Linked DNA regions of Macaca mulatta. The protein of the gene in region 1 purifies or fractionates together with the protein of each later gene. This does not show direct contact. Links are inferred from orthologs where the notes say so. Each region holds a gene or a part of one and is shown on either strand. Other genes may lie near its edges.

Region 1 (3,813 bases):
ATTGAGTGTGGGACATATTTCTGACACCAAGGAAAATAAAAAAGAAAGAAACAAAACTCTTAACTAAATGTGACCTTTAGCAATCTTCTATCTTTCTTCCAATAGTTGGCACATTCCCAAAGGTTGGTGCCAGGCTGGACATGGTGGCTCATGACTGTAATCCCAGCACTTTGGAAGACCAAAGCAGTAGGACTGCTTGATACCAGGAGTTTGAGACCAGCCTGGGCAACATAGGGAGGCTCCGTCTCTGCAAAAAATAAAAAATTAGCTGGGCATGGTGGTAAGTGCCTGTAGTCCCAGCTACTTGAAAGGCTGAGGTGGAAGGATTGCCTGAGCCCAGGTGCTTGAGGCTGCAGTGAGCTGTGACTGTGCCACTGCATTCCAGTCTAGCAATACAGTGGGACTCTGTCTCTTAAAGAAATAAATAAATTAATTAAAAATAAATTTTAAAAGTTGACGCCAGACACAAAAACAGATTACATTTAACTGTGGATGTTTTTGTCTTTTTTGTAGATGCTTAAAATTATACTAGATCTCAGCATTTGGGGTCAGGTAAACATTGTGATAAATGACAGTTTGTTTTGCAGCTGGGGATTGGGGTAAGGTAGGAAAATAATGATGGTAGATATAACAACAGAAGCACGTGGAAGTGGCAGAATTCCTTTCAGCCTTGACACATGGAGGAATAAAGAAACAGGAATGGTGAGGTTTTTGGGACAGTTTTGCACAGACTCCTTTCACCTGGAGTGAGGACTTGAGGTATTTTGGTGCTGTGACTTTAAGCCGGCAGATTCCGCTTCCTCTCCTGCCTTTTCCTTTTCTCTAAGAGATTATCCTCTCACTAGAGTAAAAGCTTCTCTGTAATAGAATGACGCATTGCTAGTACTCTCTACTGATTTTATAAATAAACTGCTTAACAATTTTGTTCAGAACACTTGTAATTCTTTGCATTCACAGAAGAAAAAAATATGTTCTCATCTGAATGGTGAATTTCCTTAGTGCCATGAACATTCAACTAATTTAATATCTCAAAAATTCTCTAAAGAAAATCGGTAAAAATTCCCTTGAAAATGTCAATAAAAAACAATTTACAAGTAGAGACAATGACCACATGCTGTTTTTCTTGTTTTTGTTTTTTTCTTTTGAGAAAGGGTCTTGCTCTCTCACCCAGGCTCGAGTGCAGGGCATGACCACGGCTCAGTGCAGCCTCAAATCTCCTGAGCTCAAGTGATCCTCCAGAATAGCTACAATGACAAGCATGCACTATCATGCCTGGATAATTTCTTTTTCTTTTGTAGAGATGGGGTCTTGCTATGTTGCCCAGGCTGGTCTCAAACTCCTGGGCTCAAGCAATCCTTCAGTCTCGACTTCCCCAAATGCTAGGATTACAGGTGTGAGCCATACCACACCTGGCCAACATGCAGCTTTTAATAGAACATTTTAAAATGCTAAGTGTTAACTGCCACCAATAGGATACTGTCACATAATATTTTTAAAGACATAATTATAAATACTATAAAATCACAGTCTACTATTTCAGAAAATCAGAGTCTACTTACTATTTGTATGTCTCAGAACGGATATACTCAAACACATGGGACACACCAAGCTGGAACTGGTCTGCAATGGGGGTCACCCAGGGATTGTTCTCTGCTTTGAATACCTGCTTCTGACCAGTTAAATCCAAGTTTCCTGGAGGAAAAAAAAAAAAAAAGTGAAGGTCACTTCATCCAATACGGAGCAGGTCTAAGAAGTCCTTCTCAGTAAACACAGCCTAAGTACCCTAAATCAAACCCTAAGTACCTCCCGGATCATTTGATGTCTTTTAAATTTCTTAACCTGAGTCATCACAGGTACACAGTCATGACAGTACCTTGGCCCAAGAAATTAAGAACAAAGGAAGGAAGAAAGAAGACAGATGGAAAAGGGAAGCAGAGCGGAGGGAAGGAGATATTTGCTGCAGAGACAAAAATGACCTGTTCAAGATTAAGACAAGTGATAATATGAAAACCACTTGAAATTCTATCTTGACAATGTCAGTATGCATCACGCCTTGTCCTGGCTGATCTGGACCCAATCTGATCAACACCACTTTTTTCATCAATCAAGACAGCGTATAAATGGAGAAAGACAGGAATGTTACCCAAGTCAAATTGTTGTCACTCAAGTATAAGAGCATAAGCACATCTCGCAATCAGCCCTAAATGAATCTCATTAACATGGCAGTGTTAAAGACTAATGACCTTTTAAAATCATTCCTCATTTCATTCTCCAGCAATCCGTAAGGTCAGATACTAATATTACTTTGTAGGTAAAGAAATGGAAACTTGGGGGCGGAGCAAGATGGCCGAATAGGAACAGCTCCAGTCTCCAACTCCCAGCACAAGCGACACAGAAGACCGGTGATTTCTGCATTTTCAACTGAGGCAAACAGGATCTGGAGTGGACCTCAAGCAATCTCCAACAGACCTACAGCTGAGGGTCCTGACTGTTAGAAGGAAAACTATCAAACAGGAAGGACACCTACACCAAAACCCCATCAGTACATCACCATCATCAAAGACCAGAGGCAGATAAAACCACAAAGATGGGGAAAAAGCAGGGCAGAAAAGCTGGAAATTCAAAAAATAAGAGCGCATCTCCCCCGGCAAAGGAGCGCAGCTCATCGCCAGCAACGGATCAAAGCTGGACGGAGAATGACTTTGACGAGATGAGAGAAGAAGGCTTCAGTCCATCAAATTTCTCAGAGCTAAAGGAGGAATTATGTACCCAGCGCAAAGAAACTAAAAATCTTGAAAAAAAAGTGGAAGAATTGATGGCTAGAGTAATTAATGCAGAGAAGGTCATAAACGAAATGAAAGAGATGAAAACCATGACACGAGAAATACGTGACAAATGCACAAGCTTCAGTAACCGACTCGATCAACTGGAAGAAAGAGTATCTGCAATTGAGGATCAAATGAATGAAATGAAGCGAGAAGAGAAACCAAAAGAAAAAAGAAGAAAAAGAAATGAACAAAACCTGCAACAAGTATGGGATTATGTAAAAAGACCAAATCTACGTCTGATTGGGGTGCCTGAAAGTGAGGGGGAAAATGGAACCAAGTTGGAAAACACTCTTCAGGATATCATCCAGGAGAACTTCCCCAACCTAGTAGGGCAGGCCAACATTCAAATCCAGGAAATACAGAGAACGCCACAAAGATACTCCTCGAGAAGAGCAACTCCAAGACACATAATTGCCAGATTCACCAAAGTTGAAATGAAGGAAAAAATCTTAAGGGCAGCCAGAGAGAAAGGTCGGGTTACCCACAAAGGGAAGCCCATCAGACTAACAGCAGATCTCTCGGCAGAAACTCTCCAAGCCAGAAGAGAGTGGGGGCCAATATTCAACATTCTTAAAGAAAAGAATTTTAAACCCAGAATTTCATATCCAGCCAAACTAAGTTTCATAAGTGAAGGAGAAATAAAATCCTTTACAGATAAGCAAATGCTTAGAGATTTTGTCACCACTAGGCCTGCCTTACAAGAGACCCTGAAGGAAGCACTAAACATGGAAAGGAACAACCGGTACCAGCCATTGCAAAAACATGCCAAAATGTAAAGACCATCGAGGCTAGGAAGAAACTGCATCAACTAACGAGCAAAATAACCAGTTAATATCATAATGGCAGGATCAAGTTCACACATAACAATATTAACCTTAAATGTAAATGGACTAAATGCTCCAATTAAAAGACATAGACTGGCAAACTGGAGAAAGAGTCAAGACTCATCAGTCTGCTGTATTCAGGAGACCCATCTCACACGCAG
Region 2 (3,913 bases), on another chromosome or scaffold:
ACAGTGTTGAGACTCTATTGACTGTCTTGTTTGTTAAATTTTAGTTCTACTCTGAAACTGTTGCTTGTCAGTTTATTTAGTCTAAGGTAAGGTGGATGGGTTAATAAAAGGCTGAGTAACAGCTCCTGGGAAGAAGCACAGCTGGCCTTGGCAGGAAGTGCAAGTGGGGTCTGGGAAAACATTCCAGGTCCAAGCAGCTACTCCCCACGGTTTCCATTAGGCAGACCAAGTGGCTTTTTGAGCACACTTCTTTGCTCCTTTCTTTTGTTTCCCTACTCGTCAGCAGGCACGTGGTTAGAAACAGCCACCCCAGTCTTGACTGCGAGTGATCATCAGTCACGAGCACAACTTCTGACAACAGTCTCTCCAGCTTAGTGCAGAGTCTTAACTGGGGCTAGCCAATCGGCTGCTCTTCAGTAAAGCAGTAGCGCCCTTTGGATTAGTTGTTCACCCACGTTCAATCAGCCGTAGCCTAGAGGGAAGGGGCCATAAGGAGGAAACACAGTTGCTAAGGCGCTGTGAGTCCGTGTGTGAGAGAGACAGAGGGACAAACAGCCCGAGTGAGAACTTGAGATGGGCAAGCACAATAACACGTGCCTTTTAATCATTTCCAGTACGAGTCCTTCAAACACTGTGCTTTGTGTGACTCCCCTGTTATCTCAAATGAGTCTGGTTGTCACTCTCTTGATTTTATTTAGCAGGATAAATTCTCGGGGAGGTCCTGTAGGAGCTCATGGTTGTGCTTTTCCCATTCATGTTTCCACTACCATGTGTGATCTTCGTTTATATAAGCTGCTAGAAACACGGATGTCTTACAATAAGCAGCCTCGGCTTTACCCTTGTGCACTCCAGGCTTCTCAGTCTCGGAAGGGAGTAGAGAAGAGGAGGTTGACTATCATGGATAGGTTCAGGAGTGATTGGTTCTGCCCACTTTGGTGGGGCCTGGACGCATTTTGGTTCACTCTAGTAATTTCTTCCAGGAGCTGCAGTCTTGTGGGCGCAAGACGTGGGCCTGATAACTCCACAGGCAGTAGTGCTGGGGAAGAGCGAGCTCACCAGCCCCGGCTGGAAGACCTTGGGAGAGTAGCAGGGTTGGGTTGTTTCTCAGATTTGCTTTGCCCCAGGCTGTGTGATGGGTGCAGAGCCTGGGTAAATGAAGCTTTCCAGCTCGAGCGCTCCCAACCTGGGCACACACGGCCTCCTGTACTGCAAGTGGCAGTTTTGGGGCATCCCCCCTGCTTGGGGCAACCCAGGGGCGCAGGGCGCGGCCCCGGGAGCGCAGCTCCTTCCAGGGCAGAGGGCGGTGCGAGGGAGGGAGCGAGGGAGGGAGCGAGGGAAGGGAAAGGCGAGCGTGAGCTGCCTCAAATGCTTGGAATAATTCCGCTTCCGTTTGGAAAGCCGCAGCCTCAGCCCGCCGCCGCCGCCGCCCGCCGCGTCCGCCCAGCGCCAGCTCCGCGTCCCGACCGGCCCGCGGCTGCCTGAGCCGCGCCATGGCCACCTCCCCGCAGAAGTCGCCTTCTGTCCCCAAGTCTCCCACTCCTAAGTCGCCTCCGTCCCGCAAGAAAGATGATTCCTTCTTGGGGAAACTCGGAGGGACCCTGGCCCGGAGGAAGAAAGCCAAGGAGGGTGAGTGCGGCCAGGCAGGCCGGGCGGGCGGTAGGAGCTGGGGGGTGCCATAGGGGCCGAGGGGCCGGGGCGCTGGGGCCGTTCGGGAGCGCGCGGCGATGAGTGCACGCGCTTCCCGGGCACGTCGGGCAGGAGCGACTCGCGCGCCACACTGAGCCTGGGGCTCGCGGGCCATCGAGGCCGCCCCTCCCGCTTGCGGCGTTGCCCTCCTGGGCCGGAGACCAGGCCGACGCCCCCGCCGGGCAGTGGGCAGGCGCCGCTTGGCGGCCGGAGGCGGCGGGACCGTAGCCCAGGCGGGGCCCCAGACCGCAGGCAGCGCGATCCGGTAGGCCCTGCCCCGCCCTCTGCGCCCGAAGGCTGGCATTTCCCAAGTTTCCGCCGCAACTTTCCTGGGCGCCGTCACTCTCACTCGTTGACTTCATTGGTCCTTAAAATCAGGTCGTTTCCTGGACCTGCTGACGTCTTGTGGTAGCAGCGTCGTGGCGTTGGCCTCTTCGGATCTTTTGTCCATCCCGAGGGCCGAGAAGGGCCCTGTTAATGGAGTAGGTGGACATCGAGTGTTTGTTGAATGAATGAGCGAAAAACTGGCAAACCTAGCGTGCCCTCGGTGTAATACACGATAAACCCCTACCAAAGGAGAAAACCTGCGTGAGACACAAACATCGTCGTGGGCCTCCCCCCGCCCCACCAGAGTGAATTGAGGCGACCTTATTCTTTTTTTTTTTTTTTTTTTTTTTTTCAGGGTAGTTTGCATGTAGAATATTTTTTGCCCATGGGCAGATTTTGCGTCCTGGTTTTTGGTTTGAAAACTGAGGTGGCAGTTCTCAAGAAGCACTGATGTGTAGATAGAAGATTGGTGTGTAGATAGAAGTTGCTGAGTTAAAATTTTTTGTTTTAAACATTTTTTGAATTGACGCATGATGTACATAGTTTTGGGGCACATGTGATTAATACATTCATATAATTTGTAAAGCTCAAGTTGTTACAGGAAAGGGGTCCCAATCCAGACCCCAAGAGAGGGTTCTTGGATCTCACACAAGAAAGCATTCAGGATGAGTCCACACAGTAAAGTGAAAGCAAGTTTATTAAGAAAGTAGATGAATAAAAGAATGGCTACTCCATAGACAGAGCAGCCTGGGGATGCTGGTTGTCCATTTTTATGGTTATTTCTTGATGGTATGCTAAACAAGGGGTGGATTATTCATGCCTCCTCTTTAGACCATATAGGGTAACGTTGCCATGGCATGTGTAAACTGTCATGGTACTGGTGGGAGTGTATCAATGCAGAAGACCAGTGTCTGCACTGATGGCCATTTTGGTTTTGGGTTTTAGCCGACTTCTTTACTGCAACCTGTTTTATCAGCAAGGTCTTTATGACCTGTGTCTTGTGCCGACATCCTATCTCATCCTGTAAGTTAGAATGCCTTAACCTTCTGGGAGTGCAGTCCAGTGGGTCTCACTCAGCCTTATTTTACCTAGCCCCATTCAAGATGGAGTTGCTCTGGTTCACATGCCTCTGACAAAATCAGTGTACTTGGGATATCCATCACCTTAAATATTTGCCTTTTCTCTATGCTAGACCACTGGAATTCTAGATATTTTGAAATATACAAGAGGTTATTGTAAAATATAGTTACTTTACCAATCTAACACTAGGTCTTCTTCTATCAAATGGTATATTTGTAACCATTAATCAACTTCTCTTGCCCCCTAAAAAATGTTTTTAATAGATTGCCCGTGAATTGGAAATAACCTTTTGAAAGCTGTGATGCTGTGTAAAATGTTTCATGTTTGTAAGTCATCTTAAAGTATAAAAACGTCTTCAGTGTTCAGGATTATCAGACTTGAAGAACTAGACTTCTGTTCTTTAGATTGAAATGAGAAGCAGCAAAAACATACGAAAGTTTCCCCACATTGGTTATTTTGGTAACCCACTGAGTAGTGTACAGTTGGTGGCAAATCATGAAACCCTGGCTTGGGAAGCTTTTTTCTAGACCATGTTTCTAACTTATTCCTTACAGCATTCCTGACATAGTCTCATCCGGTTTAAGATGGGGCAACTGAGAAATATTGAAGCTCATGCAATAAAAAATATCTGCTACCAGGAGAACCATCTTTACCTACTCTGTAGAAAGGTTTATTTTATATTTAGCCCAAAATGTATCTCTCTGTACCTATTACTGTTGGAGCCAGAGAATGAGTCTGGGGTGGCCTTTTATTGATACCTTGCTGAAGTAGGCTATCCTGCTTTCTTGAGTCTTCTCGCCACTGGGCCCAACATCCTCTA

The links.
Region 2: the proteins of RSU1 (region 1) and PARVA purify together in Homo sapiens (affinity purification with mass spectrometry; 3 studies listed by BioGRID and IntAct, counting the BioPlex papers as one, with this or other methods). This does not show direct contact. The link is inferred for Macaca mulatta from reciprocal best matches to the Homo sapiens genes RSU1 and PARVA.

The regions. Positions count from the first base shown.
Region 1 is NC_133414.1:18,236,594-18,240,406, forward strand, and holds part of RSU1 (ras suppressor protein 1), read right to left. Parts: intron 1,693-3,813; coding exon 1,560-1,692; intron 1-1,559. UniProt on the Homo sapiens protein: Potentially plays a role in the Ras signal transduction pathway. Capable of suppressing v-Ras transformation in vitro.
Region 2 is NC_133419.1:53,088,079-53,091,991, reverse strand, and holds the start of PARVA (alpha-parvin), read left to right. Parts: upstream 1-1,432; 5' UTR 1,433-1,490; coding exon 1,491-1,626; intron 1,627-1,700; exon of another isoform or gene 1,701-1,951; intron 1,952-3,913. UniProt on the Homo sapiens protein: Plays a role in sarcomere organization and in smooth muscle cell contraction. Required for normal development of the embryonic cardiovascular system, and for normal septation of the heart outflow tract.